Linked DNA regions of Astyanax mexicanus. The protein of the gene in region 1 interacts with the protein of each later gene in a biochemical or structural test. Links are inferred from orthologs where the notes say so. Each region holds a gene or a part of one and is shown in the gene's direction. Other genes may lie near its edges.

Region 1 (10,217 bases):
GGTTCCTGGAAGATGTTTTTGGAATTAGTTTATAATGTTAGATAGCATTACTATTCTATCCTGTACATCTTGTATCTTTCAGCTGGAAAACAGCCTGTGTGTGAAGAGGTAGTAAACTGAGTCTTAGTGTTGTGGAACGTTTTAATTCATTTAACTTAAGTGAGTAGAGCGTAAAATGAACTTAAACATGCCGTTTTGAGGTGGAGTCTGGGTCTGTCGTCTAATTTAAAAAGACTATCATTAGAAGAAACACTGCAATAAAAATATGATAAATTAGTCATTATTAGGTATGAATGATTCAGTCAAACACTGACAGTGCTGAGACGTTGGCAACTGGGTTAAAAGCTGTCTACAATTTTAGGCCAGGCTTTCTGTCCACTGTATGCTCATCATGGGTACTTATAAGCAGGGCTACCAATTTCTTCATCATCATCTCCTATAAACTTGAGTCACTGCAGCCCAGGGGACATTCAACGGGACATTTCACCCAGAAATCTGATTTTTATCTGCCACCAGTGGACTGAGAGGATAACATGAGTATTGCATGTTTATAAGAGTAGAAAATGGCTATTTCCTTATTTTAAAGCTGGGAAATGAACAAAATGCATAATCTGAGAGTCTAAAAGTGTGTTCTGCTGCTTCATTTCAAAACCTGGAAGTGCGCTGTCTCGCAGCCCAAAAAAGCTTTTTCTGCAGCTTTTCAGAGACAGAAAGTGTAAAAACATGATTTTTTAGCTCAGGCACAACTGTATGAATCACTGAGTGGACAAAAGTATTGGGACAGTATTGTTTTTATTTAGGAAATCAAGGTATTAAAAATACATTTTGTCATGCTTTTGTTGAAATGAGTAAATGCCTATACTGCCCACAGAGGTTTGGCTTTCTACTAGATTTTGGAGCTGCATTGCTGTGAGGATTTGATTGCATTTAGCAACATGAACTTCGTGAGCTCAGGCAACTCCCCAAATCATTTCATCTAAAAGTATTGAACCATCATCATTCCAGTCCTATTCTATTGGCAATATTTCTCTCCTACAGGGACTAGATAAGCTGTGTGTGTGTGTGTCTCAGCAGTAATAGGCGCAACTAAAAGTAGCTAAGTCCATGCTGCACTCATTCTTTTTAAGACATAGCGTATGTCTTAGAATGTGTTAATTACACAGTTTTTTATTTTTTTATTTTGTGATGTCATGAATATATATAAAAAATATATAAATTTGCATTTACATGTGCACCAATCAGCCATAACATTAAGATCATCAGCCTAATATTGTGTATTTTACACCTGGAAGCATCCTGTGGTATCTCCTTTTGTTAAGTTGTGAAGTGGGCGGAACCTTCATGAGCATCAGTGTCCCTTTGGTGCTCATGATCCTGACTTAAGTTATTTCGGTAGGTTCTGATCAGTTCATGCTGAGGTGTTTTGTCGTCTAGAGCATCAAAGTTTGGTTTCTGTTAAAGTGTCTCAGTTTCTGACGCTTGTCCATTTTTCCCAAACAACAAATCAAATTTAAGAACTGACTGTTCACTCTCTACTTAATAATGAAAAGGTTTGGGCACCCATGATCATTTTTAATGATTTTCCTTAATAAATCATTGGTTGTTTTAATCAGCAATTTGAGCAGTTTACCTGCTCCCCACAGTAAAATTTAGTGGTGGTTCATCATGCTGTGGGGCTGTGTGGTCAGTGCAGGTACTGGGAATCTTGTTCAAGTTAAGGGTAGCATGGTTTCTAGTAGGGTTGTGCCATATTGTATCATACCTGATAATATCACCCAAAAATTTGAATACCGTGAACGATATTATATCCTGAAATATCGTGTCATATAAACCCACCCCTAATTATCACAACATAGTACTACTTTTTTGGCGTTTTTAGCAAAAGAAAAATTCACACTGTTCTCATTTCCCATTATATATCTACTAGAGACAGATTATATAACTTTAATCCTTGATATAAAGAGATATTTGGAGTGCATTACTAGTATAATGACATTCTGAGTCATTGACTTCTTTTACAAATCTGATAAAATTATTATTTTTTTTAATATCTCAGTTAGCCATATCATGTTGCATGCAATAATACAATTCTAAATAATTTTTCTAATTCAGTGTTTTGTCATATCGCCAAAAGTATCGTTATCATGAAAATACCATGAAATATCGTGATATTATTTTAGAGCCATATCTCCCACCCATAGATTCCAGTCAATATCAGCAGATTCTTGAGAACAATGTTCAAGAATCAGTCACAAAAACCCTAAACAGTTTAGTTCTCGATTTCCAAAAATACAGTATTATTTTTTTATTATTAGTTTATATATAAAGATTAGTGGTTAATTTAGTGTTGTGTTTAAACACCACCCACTAGATATCAGTGTTATAGTGTGATGTTAGATGTCTTTGTTCTGATTGGATTAAAACTATTATTCTACACAGATTTTTTTCCCATTATGTTTAAGTTCTGTCTCAATACTACCTGTCTCAATATTTTGTTTGGATGATTTACTTTACCAGAAATAATTGAGATAAAATATTTTATTGTCATTTCAAGACACTGCATTTAATGCCACTGATAATAGTGATAATGTTGAAAAGCTTATTGAACTTTACATTGTTGAGAATATTCATACATTGGAATTGAAATAAAAATGTCTGGTCATTTTAAAGATCTTAAATAAAACAAAACAAAACAAAAAAAAATAGAAACATGTCAGCACATTTACATAAATGGTTTCTCCTTGCTAAGAAAAACTAAAATAATTATGACAATATTGATGTCAGTAAAAATGATTGACTAGCTGTGGATATTGGCTCTATAGGCTTTTTAAATGTAACAGTAGTGCAGTATTGAACATTTTTCCTCCATCAATCATCTCAATCATCTCTAAAAACAGCAGATGTTCAGAAGGAAAGTCTCGGGATTTCCCCGCACACCATGTTTCCCAAATCACTCAGAACAAATCAGGGTTCACGCGTGCCAAGCCTGACAAATCTATGCCAGACTACCCAGCATGTGGTCTACCAGTCTCGTAGTGTAATTCCTGTATCAAAGTGACGAACACCTGCCCAGCAAATTCAGTAGTAGCCGTGTGGGCGGCGAGACAAGCCGGTGTCTGGGCTCCGTCTCATAGCGAGAGGGCACGAGTGACACTCAGTGGGGGAGATTTTGCTGGCAGAGCGGAGGTCAGGAAGTCACATTTTCTCTGTATGCAGAATCTTGAGGTCACGTCCTTTTCCATTGAAAATGTCGCACCTACAGTGTCGCGACCAAATCCTGAACCTGAGCCACACTCTCCACTTTTCAGAGAAACACTGTTTCAGAAAGTGCTCAAAGAGACCAACCAGCAGCACTGCAGTGAAGAGTTTAGAGCACAGAGATGAAGCTCTTTCCTCTTTTCCACTCGTTTGCAATTACAGCAGATACAACTATCCAATCACGTTTCACTACACTACCAAGTTCATTTCACACCAGATATCAGTCTATAGACCTTAATAAGCTTGATAGGCCAAATATTTGGCAGGCAAAATTATTCTGCCAGAAATGGCAAAAAAAAAATTTTAGGCATTTTAGGCTCTCTTCCACATCATTGAAAATACCAATTTATTTAAAGTTTTCTTATGCAGTGGTGGAAAACCCACACTCCTCCACATAAACTGATCACAGAAAACATCCTGTTTACACATGTATTAAATGAGGACAAGATTCATCTCTGGTCACCCCCAAAAATCGCCTCATTGATCTTTAATGTCAGGTGTAAACAGGATCTATGAGTAATTTAATGCTTCTTTAGTACCATGATTATACCTATAAAATGTATTTTTGCTTTGCTTTGTCGTAATTATATTTTTTCAATTATTAAACAAACTTAAATATCAGAAAAGATGATTTGAGTAAATACTTTTTAATTGTTAATATGATTTATTAAAGGAAAGAAAGTATCCAATCCAATCTAGCCCTGTGTGAAAAAGTGTTTGCCCCCTAAACTTACTACCTAACTCTAATCAAGCTTTACCGATAACTGGCAACAAGTCTTTCACATTTCTATCGAGGAATTGTGGCTCACTTTCTTTGCGGAATTGTTTTAATTTAGCTTGATTGGAGGTTTTCGACCATGAACCACAGCATCTCAATCAGACTTTGACTAGGCCACTCCAAAAGCTTCATTTTTTTTTTCCAAGCCATTCAGAGGTGGACTTGTTGTTTGTGTGCTTTGATCATTGTCCTGCTACTGAACCCAAGTACGTCTGAGCTTGAAGTCTGGAAAAGATGGCAGGATATTCTTCTTCAGGATTGTCTGGTAAACAGCAGAATTCCTGGTTCCATCTATTACAGCACGTTATCCAAACCCTGAAGCAGCAAAGCAGCCCCAGACCATCACACTACCACCATCATGTTTTATGTTCAGTATAATGTTTTTTTTATATATATATATCATGTGTTAGTTATATGCCAGATGTAATTTGATAATTTGAAAAAAGTAAGTTTGACAAACATGCAAAAACAAGAAAAATCTGTAAGGGGGCAAATACTTTTTGACGCCACTGTAGATACGGCCAAAATGCAATTGTAAACACACAAAGACACATTTTAAACAGATACAAATCCGATCACTCAAACGACTTCAGGAGGTGGTCTGAGAACAGTTAAAACAGACTATATTCGATCAATCAAACCACTTCAAGACATGGTCTTAGATGCATTTAATCCAATACAAATTCAATCACTCTGACCACTTCAGAAGTTGGTCTGAGATGCAGATATAACAGATACACAATGGATTACTTAAAACATTTCAGTAGGTGGTCTGAGAGACATTTAACACATTTTTGCATATTCCGTCCCACACAGCAGTTGGAGTCCAGCTTGGTAACACATATGACTAGCAAATATAAACATGTGGTAAAAATATAATCAGGGTGAAGATCAGATACTATCGCTATGAACAAGCTCATTGCAGATCCAGTTATAGTTTCTTTAAAAAAAATTGTAGAGGGGTCTTTAAATATTCAAATTCACAAAATTCTATTGCAGAAATTGTACATTATGGAACAACAAATAGTTATTTTGTGTCATTGCCTGAAGAACCTTTTGTAGTACGTTTATTTTTTTGGACTGCAGGGAGGTTGTGCAATGTTTTTACCCCCTATGCTACACCTAGTCTGATACTGTTTACCCTCCGTTTCACCATTTACGGGAATTTTCTGCAGACAGGCGTTAGAGTTGAGGAAAGATCTGCTGTAAGAACACCCTGGAGGTAAACAGTCTGAAAGTTTAGCACTGTACATTCCTCTGGTCTGAGGAAGAGGAGTGTGGTATGCAGGTTGTGCTGAATTATCTGGTCAGAATCCCACAGCGAGAGGAGCAGTCAGTCGCCTGTTTGAGGGCTTATCAGCCCGCCTCGCTGAGATGAATGTGGAGATGTCGTTGAATGTGGTCAGGCAGGTTCGGCTGGTGTCCTCTACTGATGATCCCGGCTCTGCTGCAGACTGTAGCTACGTGAACGGTAGCACCTCTCAGCTGCCAGACCTGTGATTTCCCTCAGCCTCAGGACTATGTGACTGTGACGGGTGGTAAATGGAGGTTGGTAAGTGGATTTTCTGGGGTTTTTCTTGTGTATATTCCTTGCTCTCATTTCTTGAATATTAGTTGTCCACAAAGAACAGTGTTTCCTGGTGTGTTCAGCGCATTTTTAGAACTTTGCAATCCCTGTTTTAATGCAGATTGATTTTTTACCTGTTGAGTTTCAATGGTAAATAGGAAGCTGATGTGGATCATGCATACATTTTATTTTATTTTATTGGCAGTGCTGCTGGACAATAATGCCCTCAAACCTTTCAGGTGTTTAAACCACTTTTGGACCAAACCAGTTTCAGTCTGTGCTTTTACCAGTTATGTGGATCATCAGGATGATCAGCCTGAAGTATTGATGATTAATGGTGCTTTCACACCTGCCTTGTTTGGTCGGAATTGTCAGAATTTCAGTTTGGGTCTGAATCAAACCAGCAGGTGTGAACAGGACTGCGAACCACACAAGCAGCTGTTTGATTTGGAGAGTTTGGTCCAACCAAAAGAGGTGGTCTCAGTCTAGATCTACTGAAATAAGGTCCGGTTCATCTGCAGTGTGAAAACACTTCTCTAGATGGTTTAGACCTTCTGACTTTCTAACTTATTACAGGAAGTTTATGCAGTCTTTAAACAAACCAGAAGAAAAAAGACCCTTGATGTGCAGGATGCAGCATTTAGGACACAAACGCTTAAACTGGAAAATCATTAATTTACTGTAACAGTAGGTTAACCCTTATTTATAAACAGAAATAAAAGGAATCTGAGAAGAATATTTTCAGATTCTGACAGAGAGCTAGAATCGGCCACACCAGGCAAAGCAACTCGGCATATTCATATCTAACATTCTGCAAACCAATAAATATTAAGTATAGAGAGACTCCACCCATGTAGCTGATGATGACAGGATGTAGTAAAGTTCTTTATTCTGCTCACTAAACTGCAGTGTGAAACCGAAACTAACTGGAGCAAACCTACACAACATAACAAAGACATGAACTCTGGTGCAGACTCTGTGATGAAGATAATGATGAAGTTACTAGGAACAAAACATTTTTTTAAATGTACACTAGTTTGGCTAATATTTATTGAGCTACACATACAGAAGTAGTGTATAATGCATATGCAACAGGCGTGGAGTTGTAGAGGTTCCTAATGATGTCCTGCGAATGATGTCCATCCCATGCAGCCTCAATACTCTTATGCAGTTCCTGCAGATATAACAGTAGGGGTATATGAATGTTGACAGTGCATCCAATAGCATCCCTCACAGTTTCAATCAGAGATGAATGAGTATTGTACTGTTGCACACAGAAAAGATACGGGGTTCAGAAAAGATAGGGCCACTAGTTGCAGGTCATCATTTAAGTAAAATGCCTGTAATGAAGACCAAAGATGCTCTAGCATTATACAAAATGACACCCCACAATGTGGTCAACGTGGTGAGGAAGTACTTTTCGTACAAGACAATTATTTGAAAATAAATGGTGGATAATGATGCAAGTGCAGCAGTGATGTCAATGACGTGTTGTATATTGGCTTAGCAGTGCTTCACACTTTTAAAACAGGTTAGTATGTTAAAAAGGTTGTGTACTAATCTGCCAAACCAGCACTACTGAGTTTAGTACTCAGTGCTAAATGTATAATAATATATTATATAATAATATATACCTGATAGTATTAGTGTGAAGTACACATTTGGGACGTAGCCCAGATTTCCACAAATGTTTGACATTTAAAGGCTTTAAATTCTGACAGCATTATATAAATACTCCATCACTCCATTGAACTTCTCCTTTGTACTTGATCTGCACTTTTAATACAAGAGGTTTTTGGTGTATCCGTGTGAAGCTGTGTAACACTGTAAGTGATGAAACTTCAAATATATGTAAAATCATTGTTTTCCACACTTCATCTTGGCCTGACCACCGCTGTTGTTAGGAAATATCAGTGGAAAACATCATGTTCTTGTTGCAATCCCGTCCCTGTGGAAGGGATTTCACATCATCACTCTTTCCTTCACATTCTCTCCATCTAACTGAATCAGAGCTCCTCTCACAGACCCTACACTCTACCCTACACAAAAAACGGGTTCCATTGAGTACGGAATAAAGGGTTCTTTTAAAATAGAAGAATAAATGAACTCTACATTAAACACTATATAGGTCCTACTCTGTATATAAGTCCACCTTCCAAGGTTTTCCAAATGGGCCAAACAAAGCACCATTTAACCAAACAAAACACCATTTAATTTTACCTTCTACAGAAGATTTTCTACCAATCTAAAGAACATTAAGCCAAACAAAGCACTATTTGAAAAACACATGGTACATTGATTTTTCATTCTTCTAAATAGAACCACCTAGAAAGTTTTTTTATTTAGTTTTATTAGTTTTTATTTAGTGGTTCTTTAAGGTTGTCTTGTTTCCAAATACAACCATCTACAGGAGGTTTTTAATCAGTCCAAAGAACCCATAACCAACCAAAGTGCTATTTCAAGAGCATTCAATGGTTCTTTAAGGGATCATGGGTCTATTCACAATTATTAAAGAAGTAGAAGTATTGAAGCATGTAGGTCAAGGTCAAGGTCCCATATAATGTAGAAACACCTATAAAAGGGTTTTCTTCAATGTGAAAAAAACAAGCAAAGAGCTTTTTGAGCTTATAATGGGTGTTTATGGAACTATTTTAAAAGGACAGAGCATCTACGCAGGTCTACTGTATGTAAAGCGGGAGAAACGTCTGTGTCCGAGCACAAAGCTAAATGTAAAGCTTTCACCTGTACATTTGTGTACATTGCAAGATCAGACTTGATGGGACAGTTGCTGAAGGTCCATTAAGGGCTGGTCCACATGACATTTGTAGGCTTTTGTTTGTCAGCACTGCGTTAACTTTGATCGTTTGTCATGTTTTGTTCGGTTTGCTCCGCACGTCAGGTTAACGCAAACACTGTCTGGACCAATCAGCTGTGCGGAAACAGGAGAAGCTTTAATGTGGATCTTCAGCACTGTCACGTGTAACTACCTTAAATCATCACAGAGAAAAGACTGGAAGAGTGTAGACGCAGTAGTTCTGTAAATGGGCTGAAAAGAAAAAGGAGTTTTATTCTTTATAGCTCTGCACAATACTGGAAAAAATGATATATTATCATATTTAAAATGCACAAAATTTCACCACATTTCAGTCCAAAATTTAATGTTTCATGATATTTCCAGTTACACAGTTTGTGTATTGAAGACTGAAGTAAAATAAATAATATTGGACAGATATAAGCTTCCTTTTGTATCAAGCAAGTTAGCAAAGAATTACATGTATGGTTTAATTAGCCTCCTGCGATGTTACATTGTGCCCTTTGCAATTATAATAAAAAATATGAACATATATTGTTGATACTGTGATAACAATACTTATTTTTAAGTATGTTTTATGTAATATACACAACTTATCAAAAGTTTTGGAACACCTTTATTTTTTTCCCCTTTTTATTTAAGCTCTTTATGTCCAGTCAGTAACTGTAAATAGCACATAATACAATACATTTTCCAAAAAGTAGTTTTAGTATGGTAAAAAATGTATATTGTAAATAAAACCGAAACAGTATTGAAACAGATACTGCTGCATTTACACACTTACACACAGCACATACACACATTTATCATAATAACTAGAAAAAGACACAGAAACCCAGATCACTCTGTAACTATTAAAAGTAGAAGACTTTTTTTTATAAGAAATTAAAGATGAAGCCAGAGAGCAGTTAGTACTGTTTCCTACACCTTCAAAAGTCTCTGGGAAACTGGAGGAAGAGGTTTAGCTGACCCACATGGCAACGCCAGCCTTAAGCTCAGCCTAACATTGGACTAAGTCTCAGTTTGTGAAAAAGAAGAATTAGAGATCTGACATGGGATAATAAAGTCTTATTAATCAAATAGGTAATCAAATAAAAAAGCAGTTTGTCTGGACCATACAGCGCAGCTGCTGGACAGCAAAAAAATAAGGATAAACTGGTTGGATCTGGTTGGTTTTTGAATGTGGTTCAGGAGCAAGAATTCCCAGATTTCCTCCAGGGATTTACGTAAAATATTAAGTATTTTCGCATTACGACTAATGACAGGCCTGGAGAATTAAGCTGTAGACTAGAGGACCTGAGTTCTCTGGAATATTGGTGCCATCTAACATCCTGATCATACTATTGCTGTCACATCAATGCTCTAGAAAAATCTATTAGAAACTCTTCTGTGGAAAGTAGAGAATGTTACTTAGAAAGTAGACCTTATAAGAGGAGAAAGATTGGTGTCCCAATACGTTTACCATTTTATTTTACCAGGGTATCAAAATAAGTCTTGCCCACAAAATGAAAACTTAATCATACTGAAAACATGTTTTGTTACACCCTTATTTAAGGATGTATTCATTCATTTAAAAGAATTTTAGGCCCTCAAGGTCAGGCCACCCTTTTCCCAGGACAGGCCTGTGGTTTTAGAATGTGATGATGTACCACACCAACCCAACACCAGCCCAGCATAGAAATTAAGGGGAGTGAACGGAAGCAATGAGTGTCTCACCGAACCAAAGCGTCCAACTCCTCCTGATATCTTCCTCATCTTTCCAACTGGAGCAAAAGTTCTCTCACAAGCAACATGTTTACCAC
Region 2 (10,422 bases), on another chromosome or scaffold:
CTATACTTATAGAAACATATAGAACTATAGACAATTACTTTTAAAATGTTCATTCTTGTATATAGAAATGAGTATATTTACTCATTTTTATGCATTCAAAAATGTATTTATAGAATTTGTAGGTTAATATAAAACATTAAACAAATGCATATTTATTAGCCTTTCTATTAGAATGCAATAAACACAGCTCTGGAAAAAAATAAGTGACCACTTATCAGTTTCTCTGATTTTTGTCATTTATAGGTATATGTTTAAGGAAAACTAACTTGCTGTTTTATTCTATAAACTATGGACAACATTTCTCCCAAATTTCAAATCAGAATATTGTCTTTTAGAGCATTTATTTGCAGAAAATGAGAAATGGCTGAAATAACAAAAAGATGCAGAGCTTTCATACCTCAAATAATGCCAAAAAAAAGTTCATATTTCAGAGTTCAATGACCCTGTTTTTTAATTAAAGTTTTCATGCATCCAGACTTGGGCTGTATTCGGAATGGCATACTACATACTACTCGCGTACTAAATCTGCCTAAAGCCAGTATGCAGTACGCAGTATGTGACCAAACTGAGGATCTGTAGTGCACTACAGGTACCCGGATGGTGTACGTACTACTCCGCTCCGATTTCGCAGTGTGCATGGGGAGCTATCTTTGCGGTGTACTGCATCCCAACATGCATTGCGACTGGCTTCTCCAGCTCGCTTCAGAAAAAAACAAGATGGATGCGAGTGCGAGATATTTTTAAATTTTATAAATAAATATATTTTTAAATTAAGGGAATTATTTTGGAAAGTATTGGCTCACCGCTGTCGAGCCCCCTCCGCTGCCGCGGCCACGCGTTTTCCGCGGGTGGGGACCCTCCGCTGCCGGGACAGCAGAGGGTCTCGACAGCGGTGAGCCATTACTTTCCTTGATGCAGTAAATAAATCCCTCAGTTTTAATAAATTATTCTGTTATTTTAATAAATGATTCCCTCAGTTTTAATAAATGATTCCCTCAGTTTTAATAAATGATTCCCTCAGTTTTAATAAATTATTCTGTTATTTTAATAAATTATTCCCTCAGTTTTAATAAATTATTCTGTTACTTTAATAAAAAATTCCCTCAGTTTTAATAAATCGTTCTCTTTATTTAATAAATAATGACCTTTGTTTAATAAATCGTTCTGTTGATTTAATAAATAATTCCCTTAGTTTAAATACATATTTTTCTTTTAAATAAGGGAATTATTTGAATACAAATTAATTGTTTGATTTGTGTTGAGATTGTGTAAATATGAATGAGAGTTTGTTTAAATGTTTTCTTCTTGTTGGTACTTACATAGATGAAAATAGTAATCTACTAAAATAAATAGAAAAACATATTTAAATATAACTGGAACATACTTGGGTTGTGGGGGCTGCTGCTAATTGGTTGTTAGAATTGGGTTAGCTGCTAAACTCTAAAATAAAAGCAGCAATTGCTGTTCTGGACAGTATGCAGATCTCATTAGTTTTAATAATGAAAAGGTAGGACATTTTTCATGTTCTTTCTGTTTACAACTCACTCTAAGGAATTCGGAGCACTACAGAGCACTGATTGGTGTGTCAGGGACCGTGTAGGGTACTACAATCAAAAGTGTTGCAGTACCGAATACTACATACTGGGCAGTGTGTAGTATGCAGTACATACTAGTGCAGTATGCAGTACGCAGTACAGTAGTATGCCATTCCGAATACAGCCATGTTCTCCTCCACCAGTCTTACACGCTGTGTGAACTTGATATGCATTGGTGATAACATACATTAAATGTGTGCACATTTGTACTTAAAGAGCTAATGACAGGATTATATCATTTATATTACATTTTTTTTACTTTGTCACTCACTTTGATGGTCACTCACTGTGTACTCATTCACTTAGTTAGTCGGTTACTCACTCAGACACTCATGTGCTGTAAAAGACTAGCACTGTATTATAAAGACAGAAGGGGAATACAAGCATTACTTGTTAATTTACATTTGTATAAAATGTAATAATTTTCTGACTTTAGTTTAGCCTGTTATTTTGCTTATTTTGTAACTGTTTGTTTATCTTTTTGTTATTCAAGACTGGAACCCATCTGGAATTATTGAGCAAAGGGGGTCTGTATGCTGAGCTGATCAGAAGACAAAGATCTAATGGCCAACAATGAATCCGTGATGTGGTGGAAGTGCAGCACTACAGTCCAAAACACTGACTGGTCTTGTTCATAGTTTACTGGATGTAAACAAAACCTTTTAATTACATTTCCCTGTATGATGTGTTATCAGGGTGATTTACTACACTACTTGTAGATCAAAGGATTGTGAATTGTGAGAAAGTTTTGAGCTCAGGATTGGAGTAGTTTTGAATGAGCGGTGTTTCTAAGCATTATAGAGCATACTGTCTACTGACTGTAAGTATTTTAGTAATATATTTTTTAAATAATATGTAGAATTACATGTTTTATGTACATGAATGTATAGTAAAGTGTATGTGTTATAATGAATTTCAGAAAGAATGCCTGAGTAAACACGAGGGTTAAGATGTATATTTGATGTAACTGGAGTATTGTTAATAAATAAAACTGATTTATTACACCTCAGCAATCATGCAAATATATATACCACAAAAATACACATTATGCACTTGGTACACCCTTTTAGATATTTTTTGCCCATAATAGAATTTTTTTTCTACAAGCTTATGTCAATAAAAGAGTAGTATATTGATTTATGGCAATAAAGTAATGCAGATTTTGGCGGACAGTGGTGGCACCGCAGGTAGCGTGTTTGTCGCACTGCTCCAGGGGCCTGGGTTTGGGGGTTCAATCCCCGATCTGAACACTGTGATCGGTTTGGTGTGTACTCCCTGTGTCTGTGCAGATTTTCTCCAGGTAAAATACATAAACTAAGGCTTTTTTGAGCAATGTAAAGACTACCAAAGGTTAGTGTTCTGTTCATGATAAAGTATTTGGTGAGTTTAGGTTTCATCCTGAAATCAAACATCTTTGTAACATCTAGTCTAAATCTCTAAGCTATGTCTTAAAGCACTTTTAAATTTTGATTTACCGTCAAATCATTCTATGGATACATGGAGACTGTGTATCATATATCTACAGTTGCAAGAAAAAGTATGTGAACCCTTTGGGATTACTTGGATTTCTGCATAAATTGGTCGTTAAATGTGTTCTGATCACAAGTAACAACAATAGACAAACACTGTCAGCTTAAACTAAAACCACACACAAAAAAATATGTTTCCATGGTTTTATTGAACACAACATGTTAACATTCACAGTAAGGGGGGGAAGTATGTGAACCTTTGGATTTAATAACTTGACCCTCATTTGGCAGCAAAAACTGCAGCCAAACGTTTCCTGTAGTTGCAGATCAGACCTGCACATCAGGAGGAATTTTGGATTATTCCTCTTTACAAAACTGTGTCAGTTCAGCAATATTATTGGGATTTCTGGTGTAAATCTCTCTTTTGAGGTCATGATGCCACATCATCTCAATTGGGTTGAGGTCAGGACTCTCCAGAAGGTGCATTTTCTTCTGTTGAAGCCATTCAGTTAATGATTTACTTCTATGTTTTGGGTCGCTGTCCTGTTGCATCATCCATCCTCTGTTGAGCTTCAGACATATTATCTTAAGTTTTCCTGCAAAATGTCTTGGTTAACTTGGGAATTAATTTTTCCGTTGATGACGGCAATCTGTCCAGGCCCTGAGGCAGCAAAGCAGACCCAAACCATGATGCCCCTCCACCATATTTCACAGTTGGGATGAGGTTTTGATAATGGTGTGATGTGCCTTTTTTCTCCACACATACAGGTCCTCAAAAAATTTGCATATTGTGATAAAGTTCATTATTTTCTGCAATGTACTAATAAACATTAGACTTTCATATATTTTAGATTCATTACACGCAACTGAAGTAGTTCAAGCCTTTTATTGTTTTAATATTGATGATTTTGGCAAAAAAGTAAAGACAAAACAAAAATACTTATTTTAAAAAAATTGCATATTTCATCTGACCAATAAAAGAAAAGTGTTTTTAATGCAAAAAAAGTCAAGCTTCAAATGATTATGTTCAGTTATGCACTCAATACTTGGTGCAGAAATTACTGCTTCAATGCGGCGTGGCATGGAGGCAATCAGCCTGTGGCTCTGCCACACTTTTTCCTTCCCACAAACTTCCCACTGAGGTGCCTTGATACAGCACTCTGGGAACGGCCTATTCGTTCAGAAATTTATTTCTGTGTCTTACCCTCTTGCTTGAGGGTGTCAATGATGGCCTCCTGGACAGCTGTCAGGTCGGCAGTCTTACCCATGATTGCGGTTTTGAATAATGAACCAGGCTGGGAGTTTTTAAAAGCCTCAGGAATCTTTTGCAGGTGTTTAGAGTTAATTCGTTGATTCAAATAATTAGGTTAATAGCTCTTTTAGAGAATCTTTTCATGATATTCTAATTTTGTGAGATAGGAATTTGGGGGTTTCATGAGCTGTATGCCAAAATCATCAGTATTAAAACAATAAAAGACCTGAAATATTTCTGTTGGTGTGCAATGAATCTAAAATATATGAAAGTTTACTTTTTATCATTTAATTATGGAAAAAATTAACTTTATCACAATATGCTAATTTTGTTGTGTGTTCCTTCCAAACAACTCAATTTTGGCTTTATCTGTCCACAGTATATTTAGCCAGTACTGCTGTGGAACATCCAGGTGTTCCTTTGCAAACTTCAAACATGCAGCAATGTTTTTTTGGACAGCGGTGGCTTCCTCCATGGTGTCCTCTCATGAACTTCATTCTTGTTTAATGTTTTTCTTATTGTAGGTTTGTCAACAAAAATGTTAGCATGTGCCAGAGATTTCTGTAAGTCTTCAGCTGATTCTTCCTCACCTCATTGATCATTCTGTGCTGTGCTCTTGCAGTCATCTTTACAGGACGATCAGACCTACGGAGTGTAGCAACAGTGCTGAACTTTCTCTATTTGTAGACCATCTGTCGTACCGTGGACACATGAACATCAAGACTTTTAGTGATACTAAATAAAAATAAGCTTCAGCCCTCTTTACAGAGGAATTAAGGAATTTATAATAATTAATTGCGTTACCACCTGCCCCCTTTTTGAAGACATACGATGCCCTTAAGTTACCTAGGCTATGTTCACATTACCAGACTGAAGTGACTTAAACCTGTTTTTCTTGCTCAATGTGGCTCAGATTAGATTTTTTTATGGCTGTATGAATGTGAAATCCAATTCAAATGTCAAATCAGAATTCATGCGTCTTTATGCTTTTACGCATGGGATTGGCTCTTAGACTGTCTATTGGTTGAGCTAAGCGGTAGGGCCAAGGATGAATTGGAATTGAGCGTAACTCTGTTTTGTTAAATGTTTTTAAAATGATATATTTAACATGTTAATGTTACATTTATATACATAATAGCTTTCTTTATTACCTCAGGATCAATACTTACTAAGTGACTTTTATTTTGAAGCTTCTCCTCACTGTAGCCATGTTGCTGGAGCAGCCACGCCCCTTCTGTTGTTGACTTGCGATCAGCGGTACCTGCCTGAGCTGAACCGAGCGGAGCAGCGGAACCGGGCCAGCGGCTGAGAGATAGATACGGCGAGCTTCACTGGTTCAGCATGCAGAAATATGAGAAGCTGGAGAAGATCGGAGAGGGTAAGCCCGAGCTGTGCTGCCTCCCTGCTGTCCGGCTGGGAGAGACGCTGCAGCGGTTGTTAGCTGGGTTAGCCGGGCTAGCTGTGTTTGCTAGCTGGCTCGCTTAGCTTGGGGACCAGAGAGCTTAACCCAGCGTTACCGGCGAAGGCCAGCCTGCCTGCGGGCCATAGGTTGTAAATCAGTGGGAGAGCTACAAACAGTGACAGGAGATTAAAGAGCTGCCATCAACAAAGCCACACACAGCCAGAGTTCAGCACATTTACCTTTACAACGAGCCGGAGTTACCTGGAGGCTTCCATTGGAGGCTTCCAGCTCGCCAGCCGCTGGTATCGCACACAGACAAGACAGGCTGTGACTTAGCTAACGCTAACGTTAATTAACGATAAAAAAAAAAATAATAATAATAATGTGCTAGATTAACTAGCTACAAAACACGTAAATTAGCTAAGTAAGCTGTTAGTTAGTTAGCTACCTAATGCACTTAGTCCACACATACATAAATGTATATATAATAGTGAATAATATGTTGTAAACATGATGAATTGTAGCCTGTAATTGATGTTGTGGCAAACCAGTTCTAGAATTTGCTGGAGTCAGAATTGTATACACTGCAAACCGTTTATTTACATCGTGGTCTGTCACAATACGATTTTTTTGTGGACGATATGTGTTACAGACATATAAGGTGAGTGTTACAGAAACTAGACAAATGGCTAATATCCCCTGGTTAATAGTCTCACAAATTAAATCTGTTTTTGACTCAAAAGGAGTCTTAACTGTGAGTAATAGGGCTTTGCTCCTCTGTTCATTCAGAAAGAGAGCAGTAGAAAGAAGCAAGACACAGCAGGGATCATTAATCCCAAAATAACATCAAAGAAGAACAACACATACTGTCTCTCACACTGTGTGTGTGTCAGTCTGTTATTTTAGAATAAATCTGTTACAGGATGTATTTTTCCAAACATACAGTACCAGTCAAAAGTTTGAACATGTGGAATTTAGTGTTAAAGAAACCAAAATATGTTTAATACTTGAGATTCTTCTAAGTAGCACATTTATCTTTGAGTTTGTGAATCACCTGAAATAGTTTTCTCAGCGTCTTAAAGGAGTTCCTGGAGGTGCTGAACCATAGTTGCTGCTTTTCCTTCACGTTGTGAAGCTCCAGCTCATCCCAAATCACCTCTAATCACCATCTCAGTTGATCAGGTTTAGGTCAGGGGATTAATGTGGAGGACTAACACTTTTTTAAACATTGAATGAGAAGAGTTGTGTGCAAACATTTGACTGATACTGTAGTTATATGTTTCATCGTCTCTGAGTGCATGCTGTTTCTGTTCTCCAACAGGTACATATGGAACAGTCTTCAAGGCTAAAAACCGAGAGACGCACGAGATAGTGGCTCTGAAGCGGGTCAGGCTGGATGATGATGATGAGGTCAGGAGATCAGACAGTGCTACTAATGTTATTAGGGCTGTGTATCGACAAGAACTTGGTTATAAATCAATATATTGCAGTATATTTTGACGCTGTAAGCAAGGCAATATTTTGCCATTGTTTACTGAAAATGTAAGAAAACTGAAAGTAAATGTATACAGTATTACAGACCAAACTAAAGCAATACTTTTAACCGTTTCTTAAACACCTACATGTTCTGTTTAAGCATTGTTTTTAATTTTACTGTTTCTTTTGTAGGGGGTTCCCAGTTCAGCTTTAAGAGAAATTTGTCTCTTGAAGGAGCTGAAGCATAAAAACATTGTAAGGTAGGATTATTTACTGTAATTTCAATTGACATTTTACATGTATTTGAAATTATACAGTAGTTGACGTTTTCTTTTCCACTCATGCAGTGTTGAAAAATTTAAATGTTTGTTTTTTGTTTTTGTTTTTTTCTGTCAAGGTTGCATGATGTTCTACACAGTGACAAAAAGCTGACATTAGTGTTTGAATATTGTGATCAGGTAAGGCAACACTGTTTTATTATACAGTAAAAGGGCTGTAGTAGGTGCTGTAATCATAGCATAGGATAGTGGATGTTTTAGGGCTGTTTTCATTTCCATTATATGCCTACAATTATTATATCTGAGTATGTTGTCTTTGCACAGTATCCTTTATTTGAAAAACACAGGATGTGTTATTAAGACCCCCCACCCTATATATTACAGAAACTGATTTTGCAGTTCCATGTATCTTTTATATATGTATATATTTCTCTATTAACAGGATCTAAAGAAATATTTTGACAGCTGCAATGGCGATTTGGATCCAGAGATTGTAAAGGTATGTGGTCATTTTGTGTAGTCTTAATATAAAAGCTTCGGAAAGTCATGCTACTGTAACTTGAACAACTGTGTCCAGCATGAGTTTCAGATTAAAGGAGAACTCCTGTATAAAATTGACTTTGATTGTAGTAGAACATTATGAAAAGTACCACCTCCGTTCTCCCACTGCTTTCTGATGTTCCAGCAATTTTATTCCATTTGACCAAAGACCCTTAGACTGAGTGATACGTAGGGCTGGCCCGAATAGCGTTTTTTGAGCTCCGGATATTCGGCACTGATTCGAAGCGAATATTCGAATATTCGTTTTTAAAAAAAGAGGTAAAAAAAAAAGCAAATCACGGCCCCTTTAATCCACTGAAAAATGTTCAATTTGCTCTGACCGACGAGACATATTCACCCCGGATTTTTGGTGTTTTTATCCCGGATTTTTGTGTTTTCACCCCATATTTTTTCTGTTTTTAGCCCAGATTTCTTTGTGTTTTCATCCCGGAATTGCTGCTGCCCCACACCGAGGCTGCTGCTGCACGGTTTCTCCGCTGCGCAAGCCAGCCCAGTAAATTGCTGTTTGTGTTTTCACACTTAGGTTATTTGCTTAAAAAAACAAACAAACAAAAAACGTTTGTTCAGGAAGTATTTTATATTCTTAAACATTGTTGATTATATTAGAGGACAGTCATTGTAAACTGTACTTGGTCTATTTCGGTTAAAGGATTGTGCAGGGCATATTACTGATTTTGTATTTTTGCACTTGGGCTATAAGCTCAATATTAAATATTTCGTTTGCTTAGAAATTATTTTATATTTTTAAACCATTTTAAATTATATTAGATAAGAGGAAATTCGTTCAGACATCATTTTTGTAGGCCAGGCTTTTGTAACCGATTTAGCCCCTACTGTTGCCACATTACCCCTTACGTTTTATTATATAAATCAGTTTCGAAGAGCCTGCATTTTTTTTATCATGTATAATAGAGGTCTGCGCGAGACTGATTTTTAAACCCACTCTTCCACGCTCCCGCGTTTCTGTCTCGTTACCGCGCCGCAAAAAAATTGCTTCTTTTAATCCCGCGCCCGCCCGCCACATAAACATTTCTGCCGCTCCCGCCCCACGTTCCTAATATAAATTAAATAAACTACATTTAATGCTTCAAATTTACTTATATATTTATTAAAATAGTGTGGTCCCGTTCCTTACCCCAGTCCAAACACCATCGGTGTGTGCGTGTGTGTGTCGGTCCATCCTGCGCGTTGAGAGTTTTCTTTAGGTTTTTTTTTTTTTTACAATTATTACAGTTTTCTTAACTATTTATTAATTTGCTCCCGCATCGTCTGGATTAAACTCCCGCTCCAGCCAATAACAGTTCAGTTCTGTCCCGCGCGCAAGATATTCTGACGGGACCCGCGAGAACAGAAGTGGTTAGAGTGAGGTGGAACTCTGGAAAGGGGAAAAAAAACGAATATCCGAATACCAAAATTAAAAACCGAATACCTACTCAACGAACGAATATCCGAATACCCGAATATTCGGGTCCAGCCCTAGTGATACGGGGCATATTCTTGTCCCTGCAGATAAATCACTGTTTCCACCATTATCCAGGCTTAAAGTAGCTCCACACCTCATTTGGTAGAATCCAGAGAGCACTGACATTTTAAACGAGGAATTAAGAACTATAAAAACTACTGCTTACATCCCGTAGCCTTAGCTACAGCTCCAGGCACTGACATTTTAAAGTAAAGTCATGATCAGTAGACCTTCAAGCATGTAATATTGCAGACTGGAAAGGCACCAACTTTTCTTATGCCGTCCGATCACAGCACACATCCCGGCCACGTCGACTTCACGTATACAGCATGTATTTCCGTCAACAGTACATGCTTGTCGCTCTACTGATCATGTAAGATGGTGGCGCCCGGAGATGTAGGCTATGCTACTGGTTGAAAACAGAAATTTTTTATTAAATTTCTTCTCCACAAGTTCTTAATTCCTCGTGTAAATATCAGAGCTTTCCGGATTCTACAAATGAGGTGTGGAGCTACTTTGATCCTGGATAACAATGTAAAAAGCAATGTATCTGCAGGGGCAAGAATATGCCCTGTATCACCCAGTCTAAAGGGGGTTTGGACAAACAGAATTAAATGACTGCAGGAAAACGGAGGTGTGATATTCAACAAAGGTTAGTACTCTTTATCATGTTTTATTACACCCAAAGTCAGTTTCCCACCAGAGTTCTCCATTCAGTGGCAAGATTGAGCTTTTGTAAATCTTAAGCAGTTTGATTTATTATGCATGCAACGCTGTTTAGCTCCATAGATCAAACAAACAGGCTGGCTTACTGGTGAGCCATTGTACAAAGTCCTGCTTAAAAAAATGCATAGCTTTTTAAAAGCCTTCTATGTGTTTCATTCACCCTGTACTTGCAGGCATAAGTATCTGTAATCTTTCAGGTAA

Evidence for each region.
Region 2: of the proteins of pparg (region 1) and cdk5, one has a biochemical effect on the other in vitro, tested with the Homo sapiens proteins (3 studies listed by BioGRID, with this or other methods). The link is inferred for Astyanax mexicanus from reciprocal best matches to the Homo sapiens genes PPARG and CDK5.

Annotation. Positions count from the first base shown.
Region 1 is NC_064431.1:12,902,361-12,912,577, reverse strand, and holds the start of pparg (peroxisome proliferator-activated receptor gamma), read left to right. Parts: upstream 1-5,356; 5' UTR 5,357-5,578; coding exon 5,579-5,588; intron 5,589-10,217. UniProt on the Homo sapiens protein: Nuclear receptor that binds peroxisome proliferators such as hypolipidemic drugs and fatty acids.
Region 2 is NC_064413.1:12,471,227-12,481,648, forward strand, and holds the start of cdk5 (cyclin-dependent-like kinase 5), read left to right. Parts: upstream 1-5,541; 5' UTR 5,542-5,657; coding exon 5,658-5,694; intron 5,695-7,039; coding exon 7,040-7,128; intron 7,129-7,386; coding exon 7,387-7,454; intron 7,455-7,591; coding exon 7,592-7,652; intron 7,653-7,914; coding exon 7,915-7,971; intron 7,972-10,422. Other genes in the region: abcb8 (mitochondrial potassium channel ATP-binding subunit), read left to right, coding at 2,089-2,172. UniProt on the Homo sapiens protein: Proline-directed serine/threonine-protein kinase essential for neuronal cell cycle arrest and differentiation and may be involved in apoptotic cell death in neuronal diseases by triggering abortive cell cycle re-entry. Interacts with D1 and D3-type G1 cyclins.